4 linked regions of the Drosophila melanogaster genome follow. The protein of the gene in region 1 binds, or shares a complex with, the protein of each later gene. Each region holds a gene or a part of one and is shown in the gene's direction. Other genes may lie near its edges. The genes, in order: eIF3d2, eIF3c, eIF3b and eIF3l.

The links.
Region 2: eIF3d2 (region 1) and eIF3c share a complex: the UniProt entries of both Drosophila melanogaster proteins name them as parts of the eukaryotic translation initiation factor 3 (eIF-3) complex.
Region 3: eIF3d2 (region 1) and eIF3b share a complex: the UniProt entries of both Drosophila melanogaster proteins name them as parts of the eukaryotic translation initiation factor 3 (eIF-3) complex.
Region 4: eIF3d2 (region 1) and eIF3l share a complex: the UniProt entries of both Drosophila melanogaster proteins name them as parts of the eukaryotic translation initiation factor 3 (eIF-3) complex.

Annotation. Positions count from the first base shown.
Region 1 is NT_033777.3:12,189,921-12,196,778, reverse strand, and holds eIF3d2 (eukaryotic translation initiation factor 3 subunit d2), read left to right. Parts: upstream 1-1,767; 5' UTR 1,768-1,826; coding exon 1,827-2,819; intron 2,820-2,896; coding exon 2,897-3,559; 3' UTR 3,560-4,076; downstream 4,077-6,858. Other genes in the region: CG43450 (uncharacterized protein), read right to left, coding at 1,292-1,438. UniProt on the Drosophila melanogaster protein: mRNA cap-binding component of the eukaryotic translation initiation factor 3 (eIF-3) complex, which is involved in protein synthesis of a specialized repertoire of mRNAs and, together with other initiation factors, stimulates binding of mRNA and methionyl-tRNAi to the 40S ribosome.
Region 2 is NT_033778.4:17,663,062-17,670,998, forward strand, and holds eIF3c (eukaryotic translation initiation factor 3 subunit c), read left to right. Parts: upstream 1-2,616; 5' UTR 2,617-2,755; intron 2,756-2,970; 5' UTR 2,971-3,005; coding exon 3,006-3,098; intron 3,099-3,160; coding exon 3,161-5,800; 3' UTR 5,801-5,924; exon of another isoform or gene 5,925-5,970; 3' UTR 5,971-6,214; downstream 6,215-7,937. Other genes in the region: CG30108 (uncharacterized protein), read left to right, coding at 6,425-6,571, 6,626-6,745; CG30109 (uncharacterized protein), read left to right, coding at 7,121-7,267, 7,326-7,445. UniProt on the Drosophila melanogaster protein: Component of the eukaryotic translation initiation factor 3 (eIF-3) complex, which is involved in protein synthesis of a specialized repertoire of mRNAs and, together with other initiation factors, stimulates binding of mRNA and methionyl-tRNAi to the 40S ribosome.
Region 3 is NT_033778.4:17,533,399-17,540,543, forward strand, and holds eIF3b (eukaryotic translation initiation factor 3 subunit b), read left to right. Parts: upstream 1-2,814; 5' UTR 2,815-2,931; intron 2,932-2,934; exon of another isoform or gene 2,935-3,056; 5' UTR 3,057-3,066; coding exon 3,067-3,181; intron 3,182-3,297; coding exon 3,298-3,613; intron 3,614-3,671; coding exon 3,672-5,224; intron 5,225-5,295; coding exon 5,296-5,384; 3' UTR 5,385-5,665; downstream 5,666-7,145. Other genes in the region: patronin, read right to left, coding at 1,428-1,457; Cc2d2a (Coiled-coil and C2 domain containing 2A), read left to right, coding at 5,924-7,145. UniProt on the Drosophila melanogaster protein: RNA-binding component of the eukaryotic translation initiation factor 3 (eIF-3) complex, which is involved in protein synthesis of a specialized repertoire of mRNAs and, together with other initiation factors, stimulates binding of mRNA and methionyl-tRNAi to the 40S ribosome.
Region 4 is NT_037436.4:12,140,664-12,147,945, reverse strand, and holds eIF3l (eukaryotic translation initiation factor 3 subunit l), read left to right. Parts: upstream 1-1,848; 5' UTR 1,849-1,957; coding exon 1,958-1,990; intron 1,991-2,695; coding exon 2,696-3,174; intron 3,175-3,228; coding exon 3,229-4,201; intron 4,202-4,260; coding exon 4,261-4,395; 3' UTR 4,396-4,500; downstream 4,501-7,282. Other genes in the region: Nrx-IV (neurexin IV), read right to left, coding at 986-1,091; RhoGAP68F (Rho GTPase activating protein at 68F), read right to left, coding at 5,118-6,153, 6,217-6,412, 6,470-6,505, 6,569-6,694, 6,919-6,945. UniProt on the Drosophila melanogaster protein: Component of the eukaryotic translation initiation factor 3 (eIF-3) complex, which is involved in protein synthesis of a specialized repertoire of mRNAs and, together with other initiation factors, stimulates binding of mRNA and methionyl-tRNAi to the 40S ribosome.

The DNA of each region.
Region 1 (6,858 bases):
GTTCTTGTTGCTTTTGTTCGCTGGGTAAGTACTTACTTATGTGCCAGGGCATTATTCTTGGCTGTGTTCCTTTCACCAAGCCGCTACCGCTTTTTCCTACAAGACCGGCAGTGGCAGAAGAAAAGCTTCAGCGGCAGGAGCGATTGCAGATGAGCTGGAGATGAGAGGGTAAATCCGGAGGTTGGAAAGCGGAAGGCGGATGGGGATGGAGAAACCGCAGCGGTGACGTGGCAATGCAGCTGCATAATGTGGCATGCGGTTTGCATTAAAAATGATATTGCAACACGAGCCGCACATCTGCAGCTGTGTGCAGTTAGGCGCCGCCTGCAGTCACTGACAGCCGCATGGCAATTATAATCCACACACACATACACTCACTCAGACGCACACTCATCCACGGCTTATGGCTACACTGAAATCAATTCAATGGTAAAATAGGAATTATTTCAGTCAAAATAAGTTCCCATTGTTATTGCTCCACAGAACCCATTATTATATTCTTGGTATGCATTCTTGGTCTTCTATTCTTACATTTGACATTATCTCTTCATATTCTCGCAGTGTATCAACAGAGAAGTGCGAGGGAATCTGGAGCCGGGCCATGTAAGCAGCAGCTGCCAGTGACATACACATCAACATGACACCCTGTCGCTTGACAAAGCTTAGCTCAGGATCTGGGTGCTGGAAGAGGGGCGGAGGCACCGCACTCCCACTGTCATCCCGCTCGCACCCATATCATTTTCCACACATTCAGGCACATTCACACGCTCGACATGTTGCTTTTTGGGTATGAGCCGGAGTGCAGGATGTCCGCTTCCTTTTTCGCCGCCTCACACGTTGTTATCTAACAAGCTTTTTATGTGATTACCTTTTGCCTTCTGTTAGTTTTACTATAATTTGGCCTTTACGCTTAACGAGATTGTTGTAAGGTGCTCCCAGCCAAGAATAAGGAAACCGAACCGGAACACAGTGAGGACTGAGCCAAGTTGACCAGATCCAGCACACAGGACACTCGTCCCATTGTAGTGCACTCCGCTGTTGTTCCTTTGCTTTCCTGATACTTGGGTCAGAACAATGGTGCTGGAGTTGGAGTCATATGAATGGAGTCATGTCGATGTGAGCTTAGATGCGTCGTCAAGTGATAATCCCGTCACAGTACCCCGCTTCCTGTACCATTTCCACAGCTCAACAAACATTTATTTGTGCGCTTAGTGAGGGTTTTTTATAAAAGATAATAAGAAACAAGAATTTGTCGGCTGGAAGGGGATCCCCGCGCCCATCCTGGATCAGCTCACCATGCGGAGGATGAGAATAATCGTGGCCAATGAGAGCAGCACGACGTTGACGGAGAACCGAAAGACGAACAGGCAATTACACATTTCTTCATTGTGGTTGCGGTGGTGTTTAATTGGGGGCAGGGCGTCCTCCTAAGATTCATTCTCCAAACGTCTTACTTCTCACTTTGTGTAGTTTATAGGGTTTCGGTGTGACTAGAAATACAAATAAGACTGAGCTTTTATTGTGAGGAATTGGTATCTTTTGATTTCTCACAATAGGCTTCAATCTACTTACTATAGGCTTTTGAAGAAATCTTTTTAGTTGTCTATCAAAAATTATTTAAAGATTGGATATTCGGTTATTTCCTTAATGGATAAAACCGCCTTTTTCATATTATAACATTATCCAAACGTAGGGCTTGGAAAATTTTCCCAAGCTGTCAAGCCGGCCATACGAAATCAGCTCAGTGTAATTTGTACCTCGACAAAACCGGATCACATAAATGTAAATACTTGCTCTTGGTTATTTAAACATCTTTCGGCGTGATTATGTCCAACTACGCACCCTTTATCAAGCCCTATGTGGAGTACAACGAGCACGGCTGGGGTCCTTGCGAGGTACCCGAATTGGATGTGCCCTACCAGCCGTTCTGCAAAAGTGATCGCCTGGGCAAGATCTGCGACTGGACTGCGATGGTGCCCGAGAAGAAGTTCCCCAGTAAATACGCCTCGACCTTTGGCAACAACAGTCAGTACGCATACTTCTACGAGGACGATGACTCCACCTTCCATTTGGTGGACACCACTGGATCGAAGGCCACCAAGCCCTATCAGCGGGGACGCTATAGACCCAATATGCGCAACAATGTGAGGAGCAGGGGTCGCACGGGGCGTGGCACTCCGAATATAGCAAGTCTCGGGGGATCCACGGCTGGAGGCGCAACTGCCAGTACCACCAAGTACGGAAAGGGTCGCAATACACGCAACACGCAGAATATGGGTCGCAGATTCGGTCGCAATGCTCCCACCAGAATCCGCGAGAGCTCAGTGATGGTGCAATCGGATTGGGTTTCGATCGAGGAGATTGATTTTCCACGCCTTCTCAAGCTGGCACTTCCCAATATTAAAGATGGTAAGGACATTGCCACCTGCGGATGGCTGGAATTTTATGATAAGTTATACGATCGAGTCAACTTACGCAATGAAAAACCATTGCAAAAGATGGATCGTGTTGTGCACACCGTGACGACCACGGATGATCCGGTTATTCGTCGTCTTTCGAGGACCATGGGCAATGTCTTTGCCACCGACGAAATCTTGTCCACCATAATGTGCTGCACACGCTCCAATTACTCTTGGGATGTGGTAGTCGAGAAATTGGGCACTAAGGTGTTCTTAGATAAGAGATATAATGATCAATTTGATTTGCTGACTGTCAACGAGACTTCAGTAGAACCTCCGATGGATGAGGAGGGTTCCATCAATTCGGCACATAGCTTGGCAATGGAGGCCACTCTAATTAATCACAACTTTAGCCAGCAGGTAGGTTTACAGTAGGTTTCAATTTATGTTATTTGTTATTGTACGTTTTTAAATCTTATGTTATTTATTTTTAAAAGGTTCTTCGCATTGGCGACCAAGAGCCACGTTTCATGTTTGAGGAGCCCAATCCGTTCGAGGAGCCAGGCGTGGATCTTGCCTCCATTGGCTATCGCTACCGTCAGTGGGATCTGGGCAACGATGTGGTGCTGATTGCTCGCTGCAAGCACAATGGGGTTATCCAAGGACCCAATGGGGACGTGCAGTTCCTCTCGATCAAGGCGCTGAATGAATGGGACTCCAAGGTGACCAACAGTGTGGAGTGGCGCCAGAAGTTGGACACCCAGCGCGGTGCAGTCTTGGCCTCCGAGTTGCGCAACAATGCTTGTAAGCTAGCTCGATGGACCGTTGAGGCTGTGCTGGCTGGTTCCGATCAACTGAAGTTAGGCTATGTGTCCAGGATGAATCCGCGTGATCACCTGCGTCACGTGATCCTTGGCACACAGCAATTCAAGCCGCAGGAGTTCGCCACCCAAATCAACCTGAACATGGACAATGCCTGGGGAGTATTGCGTTGCCTAATTGACCTTGTGATGAGGCAACCGGATGGAAAGTATCTGATCATGAAGGATCCCAACAAGCCGATGATCCGTCTGTATGACGTTCCGGAAAACGCCTTCGACTCCGACGGCGATGAGGAGGAGGAGTCCAGCGATCCCTTGAGTAACTCCAACGATAACTAACGCCCTCACGAATTTATTCAACTAATAGTTCTCCGAACAAGGGGATCCGTCGACGGACGAGACAAGCCGACACATGCTGACAGATGCGCAGTGAACACAAATGCAATTTAAATTGAGTTTTTGACCAAACACAACATATGAACGGAGCCATCACTTGACATGTCAGTGAACAACGGACCGGGTGACCGGGTGCAGTCACAGTTATTTTGAGGATAACATGGCCACATCAATCACTGCGGTTCCAAGAAATACAAAATGAAACCCGGCTAAATAAATATGCATTGTGCAGAACATCCCCCGCCATTACCGACTGACAATCACAATAATTGCGGGGGAGTGGAACTGGGGCTGAAATGGGTGAAGGGCTGTTTGGGTGACAAACCTCAGGATCAATAAATCACCGAACACGGCATCAATCAATGCAAATTCTGATGCTGCTGTGGTGCTTGGCGTGCGACAATTTAAGCAAAATGTTTTCGTATTCAACAGCATTTAATTAAATTCATATATGTGCTCGAATTTCATATGCATCCTGCCTTTTTTGTTATTTGGCAATTCAATTTGGGCAGTCAGTGAGCACAAAAGTGCAGAAATTATTCCCCAACGGAAATGCAAATCGCTCAACTAAATTACCAAAATGTTTTGCGCATTTTTGTTTTTGTTTCTCCGTCCGCCAATTTCTTTTTGTTCAGCGCCAAATTGAATTTAGACCTATTCAATTTGCATGGATAGGCTTGCACTCCCTTTCTTCCCCAGACAGGATGAGCAAATGATGATGCCTGGGTGTGAAATAAGTGTGTGAAAATATTTAGGGAATTTACGCAAATGAAAATTGAAACCGATTAATTTTAATTCCCTGCCTGCGGCAAATTTGATTGATAAAGTCGGTCCATTATGTGGCAGTGCACAGATTCACAATGCAGCACATACATATGTATATGTGTGCACATCAAGTATACGCACAGTTGGCCGGAAAGGCACTTGATCTTGCCAGTAAGCAGCAGTGAAACACCAAAGTGTTATTCAATTAAAACATTTTGTTTGCTAAATCAACATGTGTGCCTGTGTGTGTGCCTGCAGGACCAACTTACGAAATGACTATTGCGGACTGGTTTTTTAAAGCGTTTGCCGCAGAAAAGTTGGCTCCGGCTGGTTAGCTGCTCGAGTGGCTTCAGCTACCATGTACCACCAACTACGGAGTACAGACTACCGACTACCAGCTGGCAACTACCGGCTTTAGCTACCAGCTTTAGCCTTAGCTGTAGCTGCAGTTGTAGCTTCGGCTTCTGGCCAGGACTGGCGTGGCATTTCAAGGTCTGCGCTTGGCTAACCACGCCGTTGAAAGGCGTTTAACAAACTGGCAGGCCGGGTTGGCCAGGGCACTTGCCAGCGGCAACAACTCCTAGCCCAACTCAAGTGGGGCCTTAACGCAAAACTTTGTACATTTTATCGCATATGCAGGGCTGCGGGCCATTCCGGGGTAACGGAGAACACAGACCGGAGAGCCCAGAACACAGGGTGTGGGTTAGTGGGCTGAGGTATGGGTTTAGATGGCCAAGGCATTTGCATATGCAACCACAAACACCGCCCGAGTGAAAAGTTAAGCGTTGAATGAGGGCGACAAATTGCAAATTAAACTCTTTTGCATTTTCCCAGCATCACATCACATGAGGAATAGTTGTAAATAAAACTGCCACACCCGCGTCAACTTTTTCAGCTCCTGCGACCTCCAACTAAATTCAATTTCATTTCAATTTGCCTCACTCGCTTTTTTCGCTGAAATGGGGTTATGGTAGCTGGAGCCTCGGAAGCCGTCTGAGCCGCATTAGGAAACCAAATGCGACTTTAAGTTGCCACCAAAGCATTTGGCCCCAGGCCCTCTAGCCGTTTAAGCAACGGATTTGCCATCTTTGGACTTTGGTTGGGTTCACCAGGATCAGGGGGCTCCGGGTGCCAGGGGTCACGCATTTCGGGGGGCGGACTGAAGAGTTTAGGAATGTTTGTAAGCCAAAAGTTTTGTGTTCTTTTGGCCAGCTCGGATTTCGCCTCCGCCTTTTGGCATATTTAATTTGCCGACTTGTGCCAGTTTTTCTTTTCTTGTCTTTCCTTCTCGAAAGATCCTGTCAATTTTGTGACATTTGCTTTGGGCTCCATTCACCGTTAACTTTTCAAATGCAGCTCATTTAAATATCATTTGTCTGGGTAAAAGTTTGCCACGAGAAGTCAGTTAATCGAGGATGAAGCCCACGGCTATTAATATAGGTATGGATTGAAGTGAAAAGGGAGACCCAAAGCAATCAAATATATCGTAAAATCAAAATATTACTTATATATCAAATCGGAGATTCTTTAATATTCCCTTCTTTTTACAGGACGAACCTGATAGCCCTGCTACTCTTTTCCAGATGAAAATTCGTAAAACTTTCTCACTCAAGTTACCCCAATATAATATATTTAAATTACCCCTTCTGCATTTTAGACGGTCGACTAGACACAGACGAGAGCACACTGTTGTTAGCCACAGAATAAGAAATGTTATCAATGCCGCCAACACCTCTGCAAAAAACAAAAGCAAAAGCACCGAATACAAATTTCAGCGTCACCCAACAAATCTGCAACAATAGTGATAATTTTTTCCACTTCTTCAGCTCGTTTCGCAACGCAAAACTTTGTGCAAACATTTTGCCAAACTTATTCTTTTTTTGCCGCGTTTTGAGCTAAAACTTTTTTGTTGGCGAGAGCGAGAATAATGGCTAAAATTATGTAGATGCAATGAGGGGTAGTAACTGGAGCACGGGAATATTCACATAATTCGATGAAATGAATTGGTTGCAGTTGCAATCCCAGCTGCGAGTTAACTGACAATCCGCCCAATGATTGCATATAAAAAGTTCTCAGATGCCGCAAAATTATCGCCGCAGCCGGTCCAGGCCGGAAATCATTTTCCTCTTCCGGCCAGGCAAGGTTCAGTTGCCGATTCTCATCTCAGCTCAAAGAAAAAACGAATATTTTCCACGTCTCACTCGGAGCCTTAGCTCCTGACCGACTGCGCCTGTGGAGCAACTTCTGTTTTACACATTTCTAATTCGTTTCCTGCCTGCAAACGAATGGCTGGCAAAAGTCTGTCTGCTGAAAGTCTGCCTGGATAGGGTCACAAATCTGGACTGAAATTCATTGAATACTTGTCAAAAATATCCCAGTAGCCAACGTAATTGGATTCTTTGTTGGCGCTGTCACCCAAGTTGGGCACATGTGCACTTTTGCACTCCTGAATATATTTCGGCAGATTACAAATTCGA
Region 2 (7,937 bases), on another chromosome or scaffold:
TTTTCGCAGATAAGCAGTCAATAAATCGAGAATGTAAAATGTATTTGCTTTTACGCGGCTTTTCGCTATTTATTTTTTTTTCGTTGTGTTTCGTTTTTGTAAGATTTGCCAACGAAAATTTGGCAAGGTGCTGATATTGTTTAATTCGTAGGCACCTTAAATCAATCCATTCAACAGAATAACATTTTCGAGATCACACCCATATGTTTCATGAATATGTTTACATAGTTTTTGTTTAATGCTGTCGCGTCGGTTAATTGTAAACAAACTTACTCAATGGACTGACTAGATGAACGGATCGTGTCCAGGAGCACGCCCCATTTAAATATATATATATATAGTACGCCAAAATATAGACAATTTTAGCGATTAGGTGCGAAGGAAGACTATATTTTCCAAGAGCTGCAAATTTGTTTTGCCTCACAAGTTTTCACGATCGTGAGGCCATGCTAATGGCACCTTAAAGCCACGTTAACGTATCCAGCTGCCAAAAGCAAATAAATGGCTACCACAAGCGATGCACTTTGGGATTTCGCCTGCATTTTTATTTCCCACCCAGTCATTTTTGTGCATTCTCAAGTGCTCCTGTCCATGGCTTTAGCTTGTTTTGGGGTTTTTTCCCTGGTTTTTCATTAGCTTGGGAGTTTCCGTCTTGTGGAAACTCAGTGTGCAGCATGAAAAGGGTGTTGTCCAAATCCCCGAATAAAACATGAGCTCAAGATTCTGATTACGACTGTAACCTTTATGTCTGCTCCTCCTAAATTGAAATGAAAAACACGCAGAATTTATAGTGCATGGAAAGAAACTATTCAATTTATTCGCAAAAGAGTTTTGTAGTAAGCGGACATTAATTTTACAATATGCTCCATTATATTAAAATATCCATAGGAATTAAAATATTTTCAAATTGAGAGAAGGCAAATTATTAAAAATATAATATTATCGAATAAGAAATACTTTATTTCAGGAAAATATTTATCTAAATATAAAGCCATTTTTTCTGTGTAATGGATGATGACGAATTGAATGAAAAAGAAGTGCATCGGTTTTATCAATAAAAACTAAATTAAAATGGAGGCAGGAACGTGGGAGTAGTTATTAGGAATTATTCATTGAAATTGCGTAACTCAACATTTGTATTCAATCAACAGGAAATCTATGCTCGAGCAAGGGCAGAAATCGCATTTAAATGGAAATTTCTATAGTCTGTTTCGAGCATCGGTTTTGAAAATATCCAACCCATATATAGGATTTATGGGGCCGCACAAGCCGTAACAATCCAACGGAAAACGGAAGCAAAATAAACAGCACAAAAGCGTAACGGAAACAGAAACAGAACCCCAGGAAAAAGGGGCCCGTTTTTGCCGATTTGGATGTATGTAAATGCATATAAGCTTTTGCACCCACACACAATTTACGATTGCAGCTGCAGTTTCGGAGGAGTCAAGGAGCAGAAACCCGTACTATTTCACGGACCCTTTACGGATTCAAATGTCGATAGGCGGACAGGGAATTTATGGAGCTCTCATCAATTTCTCCGGATAATAAAGCCGCCATATGCACTCTCGAATGTCAGCTGTCGAAAAGCCAGGAAAAGGGCGATTACGCGAGATTAACCGATCAATTTTTAATTTGCCATTTCCGAGACCGCAGATACACACATCTCCATCAATCTGCAGTTATTATTTATTATGCTTACATTTGCGTTAAAGTGTTTTCCGTGTTACTCGTGTTTTCAAGCGATTCCGGGCGTCGCATCTCATTTAGGATGCCACTTAAACAGGATGTGGATGGGCAGAGCACATGCCACGCACACACCGCACACTTGGGCCAAATTTTGTTTACACCGCCAAGACACAACACAACACACAAGAATTCAAATGAATGAATTTATTGAATTCTTTTTAGCGGGCCGCAAAAGCACTTGAGACTCTATCGCCGGATATTGGCATCAACGCTGCCAAATCGCCGAGTACATCCGAAAAATTGAGTTTTTGAACTTGAACTGTCCGTCGGCGCGGAGGAGAGAACGCATGCGACTTGTTGGCGCGCGCGAAAACGTTTGGCTTGGTTTTGCTTTGGCCTTTCCTTGGCTGCCTGGCTGCATGTTGGCCGGACCAATTGATCCGGAGATTGGTTGGGGCGCCAGAATGGGAACCCCACTCTGTTTGGCTAAGAAATGCCGGCACTTTTGCACGCAAGCGCAGCAACATGTTGCTGGCAACTTCAAATGTTGCAGGTCACCAATGCAACATCTATGTAAGCATTGATCACTGATTATCTTTTTAACATTATTTTGAATAGTTACTTAAATGGCCACTATTTCATTTTGATGATATATTTGCTATGTAATTTAATGGATTTATTTTAAATGTACCGCCCAACCGGTTACTTGATATCGATATATCTCGAGAAGTGCCGGCATTTCGTTATCGATGAGTACGCGCTCGCATTCAGTCAAAACAGTGACTCCCTTAGAGATGGGATAGATTTCGGTAACTGTTGGTCCGCCACATAAAAAAACAAATGTTCTGTTACATTTAAAAAAATGTTTAAAACGCTCTCCTTACGAATATTAGTAGAGAGTAATCATTTCTCAACATGACAGTTATTATTAATACATAAATCAAACGCCCCGCCCCGTGACTTTGAGCAATATATATCGCCAACGAAAACACATGCAACCATCGCCCATCTCTAGTCTCTCTTTTTGATGTCTTGTGCATTCGACATCGTTTAGTTTTGCTGTAAAATAGTAAGTTTATTGTGAAATATCAAACGCCAGGTGGTAGTAAACACTTAAAAAGCAAGGCAGTGAACCGATTTCTGCCAGGGCTTCGAATGAAACAACCAAATGTCATGCGGAAATATTTGGCATACGTTTTTGCAAAACGCCATGTTGGCCGCTCAAACATAACCTCAACAAAGCAAAATCTTATGTGGCCCGAAACTAATAAATTGTGATTCCAGGCGCAGACAAACGGCCGCGTAGAAAGTCAACAAAGATGTCGCGTTTCTTTGCCAACGGGTCCGAATCGGAGTCCGAGTCCAGCGAGGAGGAGATCCAAGCGACCAACTTCAACAAAGCCAGCGCCTTCGTAAGTGCCGCCCAGATGTGAAACTCATCCATTACTAATCTATTCCTTTCCGTGGAAAACAGCAATTCAGCGACGATGAGGAGGAGGTCAAGCGCGTGGTCCGCTCCACGAAGGAGAAGCGTTACGAGAACCTCACCAGCATCATCAAAACCATTCGCAACCACAAGAAAATCAAGGATATTCCCAATACCCTGAGCAGCTTCGAGGATCTGACGCGCGCCTACCAGAAGGCACTGCCGGTCATCTCAAAGGAGGAGAACGGCATTACGCCGCGATTTTACATTCGCTGCCTGGCCGAGCTGGAGGACTTCATCAACGAGGTGTGGGAGGATCGCGAGGGCAGGAAAAACCTTTCCAAGAACAACTCCAAGTCGCTGGGCACTTTGCGCCAGAAGGTACGCAAGTACATCAAGGACTTCGAGGACGATCTGTCGCGTTTCCGTGAAGCACCCGACCAGGAGAGCGAGGCCGAGGACGAGGTGGTTGCCCTGGAGAGCGACGGCGGCGATGCTGGTGATGACAGCGACGCCGGAGTGAAGCCTACAGAAGCGGTTCCGAAAGCTGTGAAGTCCGCGCCGGCAAAGGCTGCGCCCGCCGATGATGACGATTCCGATGACTCCATTGATTGGGACTCGGACTCTGAATCGGAGACCGAGTCCTCTGACGATGAGAACCAGTATCAGAACATGCGCGAGCGATTCTTGAAGCGTACTACCGAAAAGGAGGAAAAGGATGATGACAAGAGGAAGGACAAGCGTAAGGAGCAGAAGACCAAGATCCGCAAGCGCGCCGAGGACGATGAAGATGGCGAGTGGGAGACTGTGGTCAAGGGTCATGTAGTAGAGAAGCCCAAGATGTTCGAAAAGGACGCAGAGATCGATGTTCCCCTAGTGCTGGCCAAGCTGTTGGAAATTATGTCGGCTCGCGGCAAGAAGCGCACCGATCGCCGTCTGCAGATCGATCTGCTTTTCGAGTTGAGGGACATCTCTGATCAGCACAACCTGGGAACCGCCGTCTCCGTGAAGATTCATTTTAACATCATCTCGGCTATCTACGATTACAACCAGAAGATTTCCGAGCCCATGAAGCTAGAACACTGGGCCCTGCTTCTGGAGGTAATGCAGAGCATGATGAAGCTCCTGCTGGCCAACGCCGACATTATTATGAGCGAGAGCGTGGCCGAGGAGCATGAGGAGTACGCTACGTCACCGTTTTATGTGAGGGGATGCCCACTGGCTGCCGTGGAGCGCCTGGATGACGAATTTGTTAAGCTGCTGAAGGAATGCGATCCACACTCCAACGACTACGTGTCCCGGCTGAAGGACGAGGTGAACGTGGTTAAGACTATTGAACTGGTGCTGCAGTATTTCGAGCGCTCTGGCACCAACAACGAGCGCTGTCGCATCTACCTGCGCAAGATCGAACATCTCTACTATAAGTTCGATCCGGAGGTGCTGAAGAAGAAGCGCGGTGAGCTGCCAGCCACTACCTCCACCTCCGTAGACGTGATGGATAAGCTGTGCAAATTCATCTACGCTAAGGACGATACGGATCGTATCCGTACGAGGGCCATCCTGGCGCACATCTACCATCATGCTATGCACGACAACTGGTTCCAGGCCCGTGATTTGGTGCTGATGTCTCATCTGCAGGACAACATTGATGCCGCCGATCCCGCCACCCGCATCCTGTACAACCGTATGATGGCCAATCTGGGTCTGTGTGCCTTCCGCCAGGGCAACGTCAAGGATGCGCATCACTGTCTAGTGGACTTGATGGTCACCGGCAAGCCCAAGGAGCTGCTCGCTCAAGGACTGCTGCCTCAGCGCCAGCACGAGCGATCTGCCGAGCAGGAGAAAATCGAGAAGCAACGCCAGATGCCATTCCATATGCACATCAACCTTGAGTTGCTTGAATGTGTCTACCTGGTGTCCGCTATGCTGCTCGAAATTCCTTACATTGCCGCCCATGAATTCGACGCCCGCCGCCGCATGATCAGTAAGACCTTCTACCAGCAGTTGCGTTCCTCGGAGCGTCAATCACTGGTGGGTCCACCAGAGTCGATGCGTGAGCATGTCGTGGCTGCTGCCAAGGCTATGCGTTGCGGCAACTGGCAGGCGTGTGCCAACTTCATTGTCAACAAGAAGATGAACACGAAAGTGTGGGACCTCTTCTACGAGTCTGATCGCGTGCGCGAGATGCTGACCAAGTTCATTAAGGAAGAATCGCTGCGCACCTACCTGTTCACCTACTCGAACGTCTACACCTCGATCAGCATTCCTTCGCTGGCGCAGATGTACGAGCTGCCCGTGCCGAAAGTGCACTCCATCATCAGTAAGATGATCATCAACGAGGAGCTCATGGCCAGCCTGGACGATCCATCCGAAACCGTGGGTATGCATCGTTCGGAGCCATCGCGTCTTCAGGCCCTGGCCATGCAATTCGTGGACAAGGTCACAAATCTGGTGGACGTCAACGAAAAGGTGTTCGACATGAAGCAGGGCAACTTCTTCCAGCGCGGCAACATGGGCAATCGCGGTGACCGTGGCTACAACCGCAACCAGAACAACCAGGGCGGCAATTGGCTCGGCCAGCGGCGGGATCGCAACAACCGGAACCGTAACCAGCGCGGGCACCACAAGAACAACCAAGATAGGCAGCAGCAGCAACAGCAACAAGTCCAAACGATCGACGAGGAGTAGACGTTGCTGCAACCTCAGCCCATCCTCTCTAGCGAGCGTTAGCTTAAACATCAGCAAAACTTAAACAGATCAAATTTGTAGCACTTCGACTATTAAAATGGAATGGCCATGGACAACACGTTGGGTCACATGCTTTCAGGCCTCCGATTCGGTTTCAGGCTGGGTCGGAGGTCTGTTTTTATCATGTCCATTGCATATTGTTGTAGCCAAGTCACACGAACATTTGTTTCAGCGCTCATTACGTTAAATGATAATACTAATAACTACATTTTGTATGAACCCAAAACCGAAAAAGAAACCTTAAAAACAAGAGACACAAAATCAGTGACTTTTTTTTGCAAATTTTTACCAACAACTAATATTAAATTTATATGTACTAACAAGAGTATTATTTTAGTCGGCTTAACACTTTGGCTTTTGAAAATTTAAGAAAACTAAGAATAACATTTGAATTTCGATGACAAGCTTCGTTTTCTGCAAAACTTCGGATATCGATATGCTCTTTTTTTCTCACATCTCTGAAACCTTTTCTTCAGTAGTACCGTTCGACGTACCTTTGTCACATTTTTTCGGAACTCTATAATAGGCATTATAAATTAAAACCAAAATATACCTAGTAAACAAATGAGCAGCGTTGGCGAGGATTGCAACGAGCTGAAGCAGCAGTACGATGCCTGTTTCAACAGCTGGTTTTCTGAACGCTTCCTAAAAGGTCAAATGGATGACTCAGCGTGTGCTCCGATTTTCCGGGTTTATCAGGAATGCGTCAAGGTGAGCTAATCGGCTCCCTAACCACGTATGGTTTGACCAACCTGTAATCCCCAGCGCGCTATTAAGGAGAAGAAGATCGATTTGCAAGAGATAGATCCGATCTTCGAAACCGGGCTTGAGGAGAATAATGCGAATAGATCTGATGCAAAACAGCAGCAGGCGGGCGAAAGCTGACCCCGTAAGCTGCTCCATATAGCCATCCTAATCCTCGCCAGCGTTAATTGGTGGCTGCACGCGCTACAAAATACTTGTAAAGAGAAACATTTCGTAGTACTTTGACTGTTAATAGTATCATCATGAAACATGGACAACTGATTTCGTTATAACCAGAGTGCCTTTATTAAAATAAATTAGATGTTCTTAAAGAATTGAAAATTCAAATTTCGATAGCACGTTCAGTTTCAACGAAACGTACATCGATATGCTGTGTCCCACATCTCTGATAGCTTATCTGTAGTATGACCCTCACACAAACCATTCTCACATTTTTTTCGACTTATTATTCAATAGAGAAATTATAACTGAAACTCAAAGAGCTTCACTCCACAAATGAACAGCATTGGCGAGGATTGCAATGAGCTAAAGAAGCAGTACGACGCCTGCTTCAACAGCTGGTTCTCGGAAGGCTTCCTTAAGGGCCAGACGGATGACTCGGGCTGCGCGCCGATTTTCCGGGTCTATCAGGAGTGCGTCAAGGTAAGCCCAGGTTTCAAGTTTCATCATCCAGCTGGTTGACCCAATCTTTGACCTTTAGCGCGCCATGAGGGAGCAAAAGATTGAGCTGCGGGAGGTCGGATCTGAGTACTGCACCGGCTCGGAGTACGACAATGCGAGTAGTTCCGGCGGAAAGACGCAACCCAAGACAAAAAGTTGACCCGTTACGCAGCTCCAGCATCCTGGCAACGGCATTGAATCCACAGTGGGCCAGAACCCGGGACACAATGACCTCACCGGTAATCAGCGCCGACACCAGAGTGGAGGAACAGCCTAGGTCTACCAAGTACCAGAAGCAGCTTTGGTTTAGTTCCATGACTCGTATCCTTATGTAAATTATTTAGTGAATGTTTTATAAATAAGTTCAAGTAGCGAACTATAAAAAATGTTATATTCAGACAGAATCCGTCTTTGAGTTTCTTAGAAGTATATACAAGCCTATGATTAGGTAATGGTCGCAGTTCTTATTATTGGTCGTATAAAAAAAAGCTTTTTAACGAAATATATAAAATCCATCTTAATGACAAAGTATGACATTACATGGCCTCCACGCTGATAATCCTGCTTATTGTGAAACAATAACACATATAGGTCGTACATTAATGGTAAATCCCATCGCCCAATAAACAGATCGGAGTACTTCCCCAAGAGA
Region 3 (7,145 bases), on another chromosome or scaffold:
GCTGAATAAGGGGGGAAAAGTGCAGTGGCGGGGAAAACAATATTGGCGTAGGTCGTAGACCGACCAGCTATGCGAATTGGTCAACAGGTGGAGGGAAAACCTGTTTGCCCAGCGAAGCGCTTTCCACCAAAAGCAAGAAACTGTCCGCAACATAATTTGAATGGCCAACGAAACGGAAAAACTCTGGCTGCACTTTGCATTGACTCGCGGGGGAAAAATGTCTAAAACTCAAATTTCAAAAGACCGTGCAGGCAATTCGAAGAAAAACAATAAATGAGTGCTGCTTTGGACGCCCACTATGAATAAACGAACGATGGATGGATGGATGGATAGCATATTTGTATTCAAGCATCCAAATACACACGAAAAAAAAACAATCTAATTTAATGAGAATTAGGTTGCTGAGGGAGTAATAATTAGAAAGCTAATAAACTAGTGTTTTCTGAGATAATTGTTATATTTAAGAAAATAAAACTAAAAATGAATATAATGATGATTTATTGTTGTTCAGTTTAGAGATGTTTTTTCTCTGTGCCGCAAACATTTCCATCACATGTTTGTAATAAAGTTTCAGTTGCTGGTGGTTTTCAAATGTCACAAATTGAAATTGGCGCGACTTTATGATTTCATTATCTAGCCGAACGTTGCTTGTTTTTGGCATTCCAGAGAATGGGCAGCGATATCTGCGGCTAAATATAACAAAGAGTGCTGATGAAGGAAAGCGGGCAAGAAGAGAGTGCTCCGCTTGAGTCAGCGCTTGGATGTTTGAATGTTTGAATGGGTTTAGCCATAGGTTCGGTTCGCGTTATGGTTCCTAGCTGTTTGTTTTTGCTGGCCAAGAACGAGACTCCAGCGCGACTTTCTAGGGAGTTGTCTGGGGGAAAAGTCGGTGTACACGCAAGGCCCCAAACCGCCGAGCAGAGTGTTAGCGTTTCTCCCTTTGCGCCTGGCATTCGCATGCGTAAGCCGTTTTTTTTTTTTTTTATTATTTGTTTTTTCTTTTCATATTTAGCGATTAGGTCATGCAACAGCGGCCAGCTCAAAGCGAGAAAAACGATAACAAATGCCTAATCTTGCAGGGGTAAAGCGTATTTTCCGGCTTCGATTTTTCAGCTGCAGTTTTATGAATGGATGTTGGCTGCTGGCATTATATTCCGATCAGCACAAGCACACCCCACACAACTACCGGTTGTAGTTGTTTGCATTGGCCATCGAAACCAGTCGATTGGTAAGTAGGTGTCGGTCGCATACTAAGCGCTAAGTTGCCGAGCGGCATTACCTCAGCGCACCATTTTGGCCAAGAGAGTAGGTGTTTAGGCCCGCTTCGCCTCCGTTGGAATGTTAATGAGTGCTTTTTGTTTTTAGCTCAAATATGAGTTTATTTTATGTGTAACTTTGTACACGGGAAGCCCTCTTGCTGCGCTTACCTGTCGTATTTCCTGTGTTTCGACATCCATGCTGACGGATTTTCCTGCGACGGACTCCGGCTCTCCGACGCCCGCCACTTCACTTTCCGCACTTTTTGCACTTTTCGCACTCTATGTTTGACCACAACACACCGCTTTTCCTTTTTCACTTGTCTCTTTTCTGCGTGCGAGCGAGTGCGTGTGTGTGTGAGTGTGGCTTGGAGTTTTCCTCAGCTTAGGTGATTTTCACTTGGAGCCTAAACACAAGAAAATACAAAAACACGATTGGCACTTTGTCAAACCACTTGGAAATCGAGAAAAATAACTAATTGCGCACACGCATTGTCAGCGAATTTTTTTCGGCGGGCGGGGCAGGGAAAAAGCTTAAAAGGCAGGCGGGCAGCCGAAAGAAAATGTGAATCATTCACGGAGCGCGACGGTGGGTGGTGGGCGGGGGCGGGGCTGCAGTGCGACAATAACAGAGAACACTTTACAGTTGCCTGTTCGCTTTTCTCGAGATGCTGCTGCATCAGCTGTTGCGATTTGCTCGTCTGGACAAGCCATTTACGCACTTTTCAACCCATCGCAGTGTTCAACCGCCCGTCCATGGTATAATTAATGTTTTCCCAATCCGTTTTAAGCCAGCAAGTTTCCAATTTTCTTTGGGGAACCGCCGACTTAAGTAAATGAAAACATTTTCCTTCGCCTCGCACTGTTGTTGTCCGCCGCCCGCTGTTTGCCTCTCTGTCGCTCCCGCTGCACTGGCAGTGCTGGTGTGCGACACTGCTAGTGTGGTACTGCTCGCACCCACAGCGAACGAGTGGTGACCGAAAAAGCTGTGTATGTGCGCGCGGGTGTGTGTGCGAGAGTGAGTGTGGGGCCTACGCACATTTGGGATGTTTTTCGCACTGATTTGCTGCACCGACGACTTTCGCATGCATTTCACACGGTTCGCGCTCGTCCCCGCTGCATTTTTCAACAGCTTTAATACTACAAATTGGGCTTAAATTGAGAAAATCACGGACACCGATCTGCTCTAAAATCTTACAAATTTTCATGTGAGAGATGGAACCCCAGCCGATGATTACTCGATGCAATCGGTTTTGGCTTATCGGCAACAAATCGATTGATGCCTAATTCTAAAAAATCGGTTGAACATGCTTCAAAACTTCCATCGCTAGAGTTGCAAGCGGAAAAAATGTATGTATTATTAAAGAACGATTAAACTAGTTGTTATAGGTTATACTTTGCTTAATACATATTGACTAATATTAAATAATTGTATGTACATGAAATACAAAATGATAATATTTAGCCGTTTTAACACATTATCACCAGATAAGCACCTAAGATTCTGTTGTTAAGGATCCATAAGAGAAGGATCCAGATATTATTGTCATTGCTGTCAAGCAAACATATGCAGTATAAATACAAATAAATCTAAGAAACAGTAAATTAAAATATATGCATGTACATATGTATTTATAAATATTAATAAAAGTTACCCCGCCGCGTTATCAACGCAGTGAGTAGTTGGCAACACTAACCATTCACACAAAACAGTGTTTCGCCTTGACTGGCAAATGCGGCATCTCGCTCTTCCTTTTTCACTTTGTGCTTGTGTGTTTAATGACGGAAAATTGCAAATAGATCGCTGAATATGGCCAAGAAGAAAAGCGAGGAGCACTCCGGTACGGATGCGAACGACAGTGATTACCAGGAGGAGCCGAACTTTGACGATCCGCCCGGGTTCGTGGACAACATTAGTGATGAAGGTGAAAATCACCGACTGCCAGCGCATCACACGCGGCGATCTAACCTCAATCCGTGTGCGGTGTGCGAAAGTTTGCATTTGCATATCTAATTAAATATATTCGTGATGCACTTTCAGATCTGCTGGGCGACATGTTGGCCCAGCGCCCCTCGGAGGCCGATGGCGTCGAGAGTGTGGTGGTAGTGGACAATATCCCAAAGGTGGAGCCGGTGCGCCTGGAGAAGCTGAAGTTGGTCATCAACAAGCTGTTTTCGAACTACGGAGAAATCGTCAATGTGGTCTATCCCGTCGACGAGGAGGGCAAGACCAAGGGCTACGCCTTCATGGAGTACAAGCAGGCCAGACAGGCGGAGGAAGCCGTCAAGAAGCTCAACAATCATCGCCTAGACAAAAACCACACCTTTGCCGTCAATCTCTTCACCGATTTCCAAAAGTAAGTTCTCCTTGCATCCGCATCAAGCAATGAGATTAATAAAATTTAATCTTGGCAGGTACGAAAACATCCCCGAGAAGTGGGAGCCGCCAACCGTGCAGACCTTCAAAGTGCAGAGCGATCTATACAACTTCATCAATGACCCGGACACTTATGACCAGTACTGCGTGGCAGCGGAGACCGCTCCCAACTGCGTGCAGGTTGGTTTCTGGCAAAACGTATTGCCCGAACCCTTTGAGCTGGAGACTCGCGAACGCTTCACCGACACCTTCGTCAAGTGGTCGCCCCTGGGTACTTATGTAGTCACCTTCCACAAACCCGGTGTGGCCATCTGGGGTGGCAGTAGCTTCCAGAAGATTCAGAAGTTTCCCCATCCTGGTACCCAATTCGTTGAGTTTTCGCCCTGCGAGAATTACCTAGTGACTTACGGACCGACACCCACGGGCCAAAAGATCATCATCTGGGACATTCGCACTGGAGCCGAGAAACGTTCGTTTGTTGCCGATGGCATGTCGGTTCTTTCTATGTTCCGCTGGTCGCACGACGACAAGTTTGTGGCCCGCATGGGCGAGAATTCGATCCACATCTACGAGACACCCTCTTTCTATCTTCTGGACCTGAAGTCCATTAAGATTCCCGGCATTCGTGGCTTCTCTTGGTCCCCCACAGACAACGTGATTGCCTACTGGGTGGAGGAGCAGAACCAAATACCCGCCCGCGTTACCCTGATGGAGATCCCCAAGAAGCGTGAGATCCGTAACAAGAACCTTTTCCATGTGGCCGATTGCAAGTTACATTGGCAAAAGTCCGGCGACTATCTGTGCGTTAAGGTAGATCGTTACTCAAAGTTGAAGAAGGATAAGAAGGACCTGGACGTCAAGTTTCTGGGCATGTTCTACAACTTTGAGATCTTCCACATGCGCGAGAAGGAGATTCCCGTCGACTCTGTGGAGATTCGTGAGCTTATTTTGGCCTTTGCCTGGGAGCCCGTCGGCAACAAGTTCTCCATCATTCACGGCGAGACCAACTCGTCGAATGTGAGCTTCTACGAGGTGAACAAGGGCGTTAAGCCCAGCTTGGTGAAGCGTCTAGAAAAGAAGTCATGCACACATCTGTTCTGGTCGCCACGCGGTCAGTTTATCGTAATGGCCAACCTCACCATGGGTACCTTCGAGTTTGTGGACTCCACCAACGATTACATCATCACGGCATCGCCCGATCATTTCCGCGCTTCCGAGGTCGAGTGGGATCCCACTGGACGCTACGTTGTGACTGGTGTCTCGTCATGGAAGGTGAAAGAGGATACCGGCTTCAACATGTACACGTTCCAGGGCCGCATCATCAAGCGTACCATTCTTAAGAACTTTGTGCAGTTCTTGTGGCGCCCGCGTCCTCCCACCCTGCTTAGCGAGGAGAAGCAGAAGGAGATCAAGAAGAACTTGAAGAAGTACTACGCTGCCTTCGAACAAAAGGATCGCCTGCGCCTTACCCGTGCCTCCAAGGAGCTGCTCGAGAAGCGCTCGCAGCTGCGCGAGACCTTTATGGAGTACCGCAACAAGCGTATTGCCGAGTGGGCGGAGCAGAAGAGTCGTCGCATCATGCTGCGAGGGCGTAAGTATTCTCAAGAAACAAATTGTTTAAAATTTGCCGATTTCTATATGTATATTATCCTTACGCAACAGATGTGGACACAGACAACCTGGAAACTGACGAAGTGGATGAAGAAATTGTTGAATTTTTAGTCAAGGAAGAAGTCACTCTGCTGGAGTAGACGACCCCCTCAACGCCACTCCAACGCTGTCGTCCCCTGCCTACTTCGAAGCGATCCTGTCGCCTCACATTTCGTGTCCGGGACGCGTCTACGCCCTGGTTGATGCCAGGGCCCTAATCCATTATCCAATACAGTAGCACGCGTCTGCTTGCAAACAACTCTAAGCGGAACCTTTGCCTATACATACAACATACGAACATACGAATTATAAGCCCAAAAGTAAACTTCAACTCAATCAGCAATTGCGAACATAACATCTAATTAAATGACCTTTCTTGCGCACACCCCTCCTCCTTCCAGTATGCCTAATAGTAGATTTGCCATGTATTTGTATGTAAACAGCAAAAAGAAAACGAAAACAAAATACGTTTGGGGTATGTTTTTTTGATGTTTCATTCAAGGCGATAGACGATAGATAGCTGGTGGTGAGCAGGTGTGTAACAGTGGTCAAGTCAGTTGCCCATGGCAACCAGTTGAAAGGTCAAAGCAGGCGGAATATTGTTTGCCTGGCATTTTCCGTTTGTAATAACCTATGTAACATGGAAGCCGCTCTATCCAGGAAGACTGCAAAGAAGAAACGCAAGACCCATACCACCAGAGGGTATCGGAAAAGGGAGCAGGAGGTGCAAAAGTTGATAAGGGCAACGGAAGGCAGAATCTCTGGTCCAGAACACGACATGGAGGCACTTAGCCTGCAGTTCTTTCATGGATTTGAGGGTGAGATGCAGCAGGAGAACGATTTCGCTGTTGAAGATTGCCAGGAGAGTGACGAAGATTCGGGTGGGGAACTGGCTGAGGAACCAACGGATTCGCCCTCCCAGACATTTATACATATCGATCTGCACGATCCTCCTCTGGCCTGGGGTCAGCTATTCAAGCAGCGCCACTACTATGATGAGAGCTTACTTTACCGACCGAGTAATACCCTGCACTTTCAGTTGCATTTGAGCGATTTGAGTGAGTTGAAGGACTCCCAGATCCGTATGCTGAACCGCTACCAGGAGCAGTCCAAAAGCAAGTCCGGAAAATTGGGCTCTGATCTGATTGGTCAGCTAAGTGGACAGAAGCCTGCGAGTTTCTTGATGGGGAAACATCTATATCGCAGTGTGTGCCATAGGAGATTTCAGAGCGTGTTCTTCCCTCCCATGCCTCCAAGTGAGTTGAAGGGCCTGCCCTCCAGACGTTGCCTGAAATTGTGCCTCAAACAACTTCGGTTCAGCTTGCATCCTCAACTCTTGGAGGAGCACCGACTGGCCCAACAGCTGGAGGATCTCTTCGATGTGTACAGCCAGCAGAGGAAGCAGAGGATCTGTCGAAAACTGAGGGAGGAACTGGAGATAGCCCGCCAGGTGGCACTCAAGCTGCTCGCCTCAGCTGGCCAGGATCAGACGGCAGAGGTGAAGCGTCAATTAAAGCTGACCCGTCAGCTGAGGCAACGCTACTACGCAGAGTCCGCTGCCCAGCGTAATCTTCTCCAGCGCCTGCTGAAGGAGTGGGCGAAGCTGAAGGAGTTGCGCCGCCAGCAGCGATTCCAGTGTACACGTTTCCAGCTTGGCCTCCGTGTGGTCCATCCGCCCGACCTGGAGGCCTCCTATTGCGCGTGGAAAGAGAGCTTCGAAACGGATCTGGCCGAGGTGTATCGCGAGCACCTGGAGTTGTTTTACACCCGACTGCGCCTGTGGACCGATCAGAAGTCACACAGCCGCACAGCGACGGGCCACTCAAAGCCTCCGAGGAAACCACAATTCGATCGGATTATGG
Region 4 (7,282 bases), on another chromosome or scaffold:
GTCTTGGGTGGAGTGGTACAAATCAACCTGATAAGCTCGAAAGGAAACCGAGGAAACACGCATGACAATCTTCTGGTAAATAACACAGGAACATATGTACATACATATATAGCCAGTTTGAACTACTTTTTGCTACATAATTGCCCAATGGTGATTAGAAAGAAAACGAAATACATAGAATTTGGCTAATGTTCTAAATGAAACAAATATGACGAGGTCTGAAAGGCCATTTCCGTCCATCTGGGGGAAACTCGAAGTGCGAATGATGCTATTTTCGAGGCAATAAGAACCGAAATAAATTATGGAAATCGACCAAAGTCTGGGAGGATATATGTCGGCTGTCTGCTTTCGACGCTTCAAGGCAAATTAATTGCGCGGCATTGTTTATTTTTAGTCATAAAAATGTTTGCATATCATCGATAGATTGTTTATTTTTCAAGATATGTGGAAATTTGTGGGGAAAAGCGCTTAAGTCTGTTGACATATGGAAGGATAATGATAAAATCACCTGTTTCACACAGCATCATCAATCAGCAGATGCTTCTTATTTGCCGCATGCGCATTTGAAAAGCCGGAAAAGAAGGCAAGCACAACTGGGGATGCAACCGGCAAAATTTTCGAATTGCTCCCCCGGGAAGCTTCATAAAAGTCCGGAAATCAAGAATCTAAAACCCCAATGCCTTTGCTCAAAACGAACGAGTAAAAACGGGCGTTGTTAAGCGGCATTTTTGTTTTGCCACCGCTATTCGTAAGCAACCGTTTGATCGCTCTCCCGTTCTCACCAAAACTCTCGCGATCGCTAAGAGCGAGTTAAAAAGCGAACAACGGGCCAAAGGAAAATGGAAGAGCGAGTCTTCAGCTTTGGGGAACACGCCCAAAAAGTTGGCTTACAAACAATCGACGTTTTATGTCACATATTGCTGGGAAAATCGAGCCGAAAGGATCTGAATTCCTGGGTTAGTCAATGGGTATCACTGGTTTTTACCTGCTTGCACCGATTTAATGCCATTATTGACCAGCAATAGGAGGCATAACAATCCAAACTGAAGCGAGGAAAATGCTGCTTTCGTATTGCTCCTGGGCGGCCTCATCTTGGAGGCTGTTAATTAAACACTATCGCTTGGTAGATTTATAAACACATCTATATTCGATTTCCGAAGAAGTTTAACACCAAAATGCACTTTTCCGCTGGAAAAACCACCGTGAAAAGCTGATGATTTGTGGCAACGCGTCCGCGGTGTTAAAAACGTTGGACTGCACTTTACGCTCCGCTTTAAATCGATTTTGAATTTATGTAATTTATCCACTGGGTGTACGGCTCCAGCAGATCACGCCCACTTCGGAAGAGTTTCGTTTGAATTAAGAAAATAATTATCGCAACGCGGATGACACACGAACAGAATGTCTCGCTGCCAGTGTGACCGTGACTCAAACGTGGCAAGATACCGAGGGAGTCACCAACTGGGTGCTTGTCGCGTGAGCTAAGCTATCGTGTGATTAAGTATATGAAGTATTTACAAATTATTTCAACTGCTACTATGAAATTAAATTTGGTCACTAATAATAGCTTTCCGTTAACATTTATATTAATTCGTGATAGAAATTTTTTTGCATAGTTTTAAAGCCATGTAATATCATTGCAAAATGAATGATATAAGCAAAGTATACAAATGTAATGGCAAATAAGTCAAATCCCCTCTAAAATATTTTTTAAAAATCTAGTTTTCTTATCTATCCAGAAATTTGAAATAAAATACATATTTTACAAAAAATTATTTCGAATACCAAATCGATAGGGGCGTAAAACATCGATAGTCGTAGTAGTATCATTATCGATAGTTGGTCACACTGTTTATCCCTCTTTTCGCCAAAAATTTGTTGGCGTGTTGTCAATTTCCTAAGCATTTGATCGGTTTTTTCGTTTTGTGTGTAACCCGGAGAGGATAAAACAGCGACAATGTACGGTGGAGACGAATACGCAACCAACTCGGTGAGTGCAGCCAGCGAGGAATGATTCATTCTCGGGAAACCAATCCCCGGACTCCGCCGACAACATAACCCATCTTTTGTTGCCCTCGCACAAATACAAAACTCACTGGGATGATTTTAAAGCCGTTTTACGACTTGGCATAGTTGGTGTTTAGATCATCATAGGTCATTAAGCACTGATAATCCGTGGGCCACTCCTTTGACACGTTCCTTTGCTATTTGGAAACGAATCCTGTAGTCCGGGGGACACCCCGGCGCCATGTGGTATATTATTGGTATCGGTGTACATTATTAATAAGTCATAATACCTTCTACATTTTTGATTTGCGTGCAATTTTAGATGGTGTGTACACACCTTTAAAGAACACATGAATATATTCTAGCTTACTCCTTAGAGATGCCGTGGAAAGAAGTACCCCTCTAAGGTTCATCCACTTCGTAATCGTAGGAATGCGCTCGTTTTGTTAGCTACAGCTCGCTTAGCTAAATGGTCGGGATTAAACTCGGAACAGTTGTAGCATAGTCTCTCGAATTCCTATTTACAAAGTCGAAAGTCTTCAATAGTCTAGGCAAGCTGTTAATTTATAAAATCGATCCACTTTAAGCGATTAACTCTATTTAATAGCTCATTTATGCAGAGAGTCGTAGATCAGTATTTCCTGCAATTCTGCTTCCAAAAAGTCATTGGGTTTTTTACATATTACAGGATTACTACGATGACTACGCTCATACCGGAGACCCGCAACTGGACATGGAGTACGAGAGGAACTACTACGCCGCCCGGATGCCGGACAACGTCAAGTACTTCCTCATAAACTTCTGCCAGGCGATCAAAGAGGGCAACTTGTACGACATCCAAAACATGTACGAGAACACGTTCCCGCAGATCAGCGACCACCACTTCGACAAGACTGCTTGGCCCGAGGAGCAGGAGGTGGCTGCTATTGTAGACAACGACAAGGTCTTCCTGATCTTATACAAGGAGTTGTACTATCGCCACATCCACGCCCGCATCCCCGGTGGTCCCAAGTTGGAGCAGAGGATCAACTCGTTCTTCAACTACTGCGACTTCTTCAACCTGATCATCTCGGCCCAGAACCCAGTGATGCTGGAGCTGCCCGACATCTGGCTGTGGGAGTTGGTGGATGAGTTCGTGTATCAGTTCCAGAACTTCGCGCAGTATCGGTATGTAGCTGTTTCCGCAGCCTGTGGAACTCGATTAACCTTCCATTTTTGCAGCGCCCGCCTTACGGAGAAATCGCAGGATGAGATCCAGCAGCTGTGCGTGAACCACAGCAACGAGTGGAGCATTCTCTGCATCCTCAACGTTCTGCATTCCCTTGTGGACATCTCGAACATCAAGAAGCAGCTGGAGGCCATCTCTCAAGGTGTTGATCCCCAAACCGTGGCCGGTGACTTCGGCAAACTGTCCTTCTACAAGATGCTGGGATACTTCTCCCTTGTCGGACTGCTGCGCGTTCATTCGCTGCTGGGTGACTACTACCAGGCCATCAAGGTGCTGGAGCCCATTGAGATCCACAAGAAGTCCGCCTATTCGCACATCCCCGCCTGCCAAATCTCGACGTCGTACTACGTGGGCTTCGCCTACATGATGATGCGCCGCTACGCTGATGCCATCCGCACCTTTTCTGATATCCTCCTGTACATTCAGCGTACCAAGCAGCTGTACAGCACGCGTTCATACCAAAACGATCAAATCAACAAGCAGGCCGAGCAGATGTACCATCTTTTGGCCATCTGCCTGGTACTCCATCCCCAGTGCATCGACGAGTCCATCCAGCAGGTGCTCAGGGAAAAGAACTACCACGACGCCATGTTTAAGATGCAGTGCGGTGATCTGGAGGTCTTCAAGTCCTTCTTTGTCTTCGCCTGCCCACGTTTCGTGAGCCCCTGCCCGCCAGCTGTAGACGCACCCATGGACGACTACGTCAAGGACCCCATGGAACACCAGTTGCAGGTTTTCATGGATGAGGTGCGCCAACAGAAGGATCTGCCCACAACGCGCTCGTATCTAAAGCTGTACACCACCCTGCCGCTGACCAAACTGGCATCTTTCATCGATCCCAACGCCAGCGAGGATGACGTGTCGAAGCTGCTGATTCGCCTGCTTTGCTTCAAGCACAAAATGCGCAACCTAGTGTGGAGCAAGGGACCCAGCGGCCTGGAAGGCACATTCAAGTCTGGCTCCGAGGTGAGATTAATATAGACAAATTCTGATGGCAAATATAATAATATACATTAATATTCTAGTTGGACTTCTACATCGACGACGACATGATCCACATAGCCGACACCAAGGTTTCACATCGGTATGGCGACTTCTTTGTGCGTAAAATTCTTAAGTTCAACGATCTGAATCGCAAATTGAAGAACATCAACATTTAAGCCGACTCCTTGTGACCCTTAATGATAAATTTAATATTCCATACTGGACCGATTTGTTTCGATATCAATAAAAATCGCTTGCGATCTTGCGCAAGTTTGGTCCTCAAAATGTGTCTTGAGTATTTAAATAATTTAAAATAATTATCTAATTTTTAATAAGAATCCAAGTTGTTTTAACACTTGCTTTATTTTTAACAATACCGTTATTTTATAAAAATTGTTTGTATGACTATAAGGAAATTCAAGACTACACAGTACGATTTTTGAGTTCGCCACAACTCCACTTGTGCTCGGCATGTGCCTTCAGCAACGCAACCAAGATTCGTTTTCGGTTATGGGGGAATGTGCGTTGAATTAATACGTAGTATATAATAATAACATCTCATATCAAATTTCTCTCCTGTTCGTCGCATAGCGAACACGAGCAAATTTCTTTGGTAAATCAATCGTATTAAGCGCTTGTTGGGGGTAAATAATTGTGATTTTCGGGGGGGTTGGACAGTTGGCGTGGAGTTGGGGCTACAAGCAGTTCCACACACATACACACAGTTTAAAATTCAACTTAGGATTACAGTACACTTTATACACGACATTGCCTTCTGTTCTCTAGTTTCTGTTGCGTTTTTGTGTGCTCTCTCTTTAGCTAACCATTGGTTCACTTAGGACTAACATTAAAATCAAACAATTTACAATTACGGACTTGTTGGTGGCCGGGCCAGTTGTTAGTCCACGGACACTGTGCGCTGATTGACGTCGATCAAGTAGATGTCCTTGTGATTCTGCAGCACAAAGTCGACGAAAGCATTGATGGGAGCGATCTCCTCCAGGGAGGTACTGGTGCTGCGCGACCACAGGAAATTCGGACCGAACACGATGGCCAGGTTGGAGGAGGTCATCTTGTTCAGATCCTCGCAGTCCATCACCCTGACCAGGAACTCAACAATGTACTTGAACAGTTCATAGTTCTCCTCTGGCAGTTTTTCGCGTATCAGTTGCGTCACGTTCCTCGAACGCTCTTCCTTGGGCCAGTCTAGAAAACCGGTCACATCCTCGTACAGCTCGAAGGTGAGCAGCGGCTCGGCGAGATCGCGCAGGAAACTCTTCAGCAGGCCGGCTATCACGTGGACATTAACGCTCTTCAGATCCACATCCTCGCCGCGGTTGACGCGCTCCTTGAGCGCCATGATCTCCGAGTGATTGCCCGATCGACGGAATATGCCCTCCGTATCGATCACGCCCGTTATGGACAGCGAGTCCACGCACTTGCGCACAATTGGCGGAATGGAGTTTAAGCACGGACTGTTCATCACAATGAATTTCAGGGGCACACCAAATTGATGCGTCGTCGCCATTTTGTGCTGCTGCTGCCGGGATGCATTTATATTGCTGCTGGGCGGCGGTGTCGATGGCTTCCGGCTGGGGTTCAGTTTGTCGTCCAGGTCGCAGATGTTGTCCGGCAACTTCAGCTTGTTCAGGCCGAGCGCCTGGCGCAACTCGTCCAAGCTGGAGATGTAGACTAGCTTCTTGCGGAACTTGTCGCTAATGAACGGGCTAAAGAAGTTCCAAATGACCCGTATGAACCACGTCGGATGAACCACATACAACGTCTTCAGATTCTTGCGGAAGTTGCGATCGAGCTCCTTGTACGAATTCCACAGGAACTGTGCGGATGGTTTGTTGTCCTCCTTGAGGCCTTGATGGAAGTAAACCAAAATGTAGTCGTTCTCCACAAAAGGTTCGATCTCCTTGATGATTTCCCTGATAGACAAATGGAAATAGATTAATGATTGAACAAAAAATGTACTCGAATATGAATCCTACCGCACAAATCCTTCCAGTTGGGATTTTTCGGGAAAGCGGGATGCATAAATGCCAAAGATGTGGCGACCCTGCTTATCGGTTCCCAGGAAATCGCATTTGTTTCTGGGAGTCTGAAAGTTTTCAGACTGCTCCCTGAGTTGGTCCTCGAAGTCGTCCTCCAGCGGATTTACATCTTCCTCGGGCTCAAGTTCTGGATCTAGGCGTAATGCGAAACGTTATTCATTGGCCAGGAGAAGTAGATTCCGCCACTTACCTTCGGCCAGAACGAAATCACCGACCATAACATCTTCTGGGAAAAATCGAAGAATTAGTTTGACTATGATTTTGTAGATTCTTTAAATATTCAATTTACTTTCAAGCGGAGATGGGGCCAGCAGCTCGGTATCATCAAACTCTAGCTTCGGCTCGAAGTCGTGCAGATCGGAGAGACTGGGTTGGGGCTCATCCGAGTTATCGACGATCGGATTGATGGCGGGACCTTGGGGTGCGAGAGGAAGGCATTTATAAATCTCGTAGGTTTCCCTGGCGCGGACTTGTATTCCAAAAACGTAATCTTACAAGTAATGCTTTCAGTTAAGTATTTTGACGGCCTGAGGCAACAAGTTTAGTTCGGATTGAGTTTGAGTAAGTGAATAGACATGAATCAGAGAAATTTCATTTGTTAAGTACATTGGCATCTGATTGTATAATCAACAGTCTTACGGTTTCGATATAATTGGCAGACGATTACTGAACAGAACAGAACAGAGACGATTAGGAAACTCTAAGCTAGGGCGATTAGACTATAGACTATGAAGTAAGGCTATAAGGGCTAGGGCAAACACATACGATCACAAAACACATCGGGTAACCAAACATTGGCAACAACACAGCTAGCGAAAAGTAGTTAACAAATAGGATCCACAACAAACCAAGCAAACAAACCACATTGGATAGTTTTAAAATGCAAGTTATGTATGTACAGGAGGAGACGGTAAGCTGCCCACATAGGCTGGATAATGCAGTTTGAAATGGGGTTAGTAGCGCAACTTGATACCAAAAACAAAGAACTTGGTTAGGGGGCGGC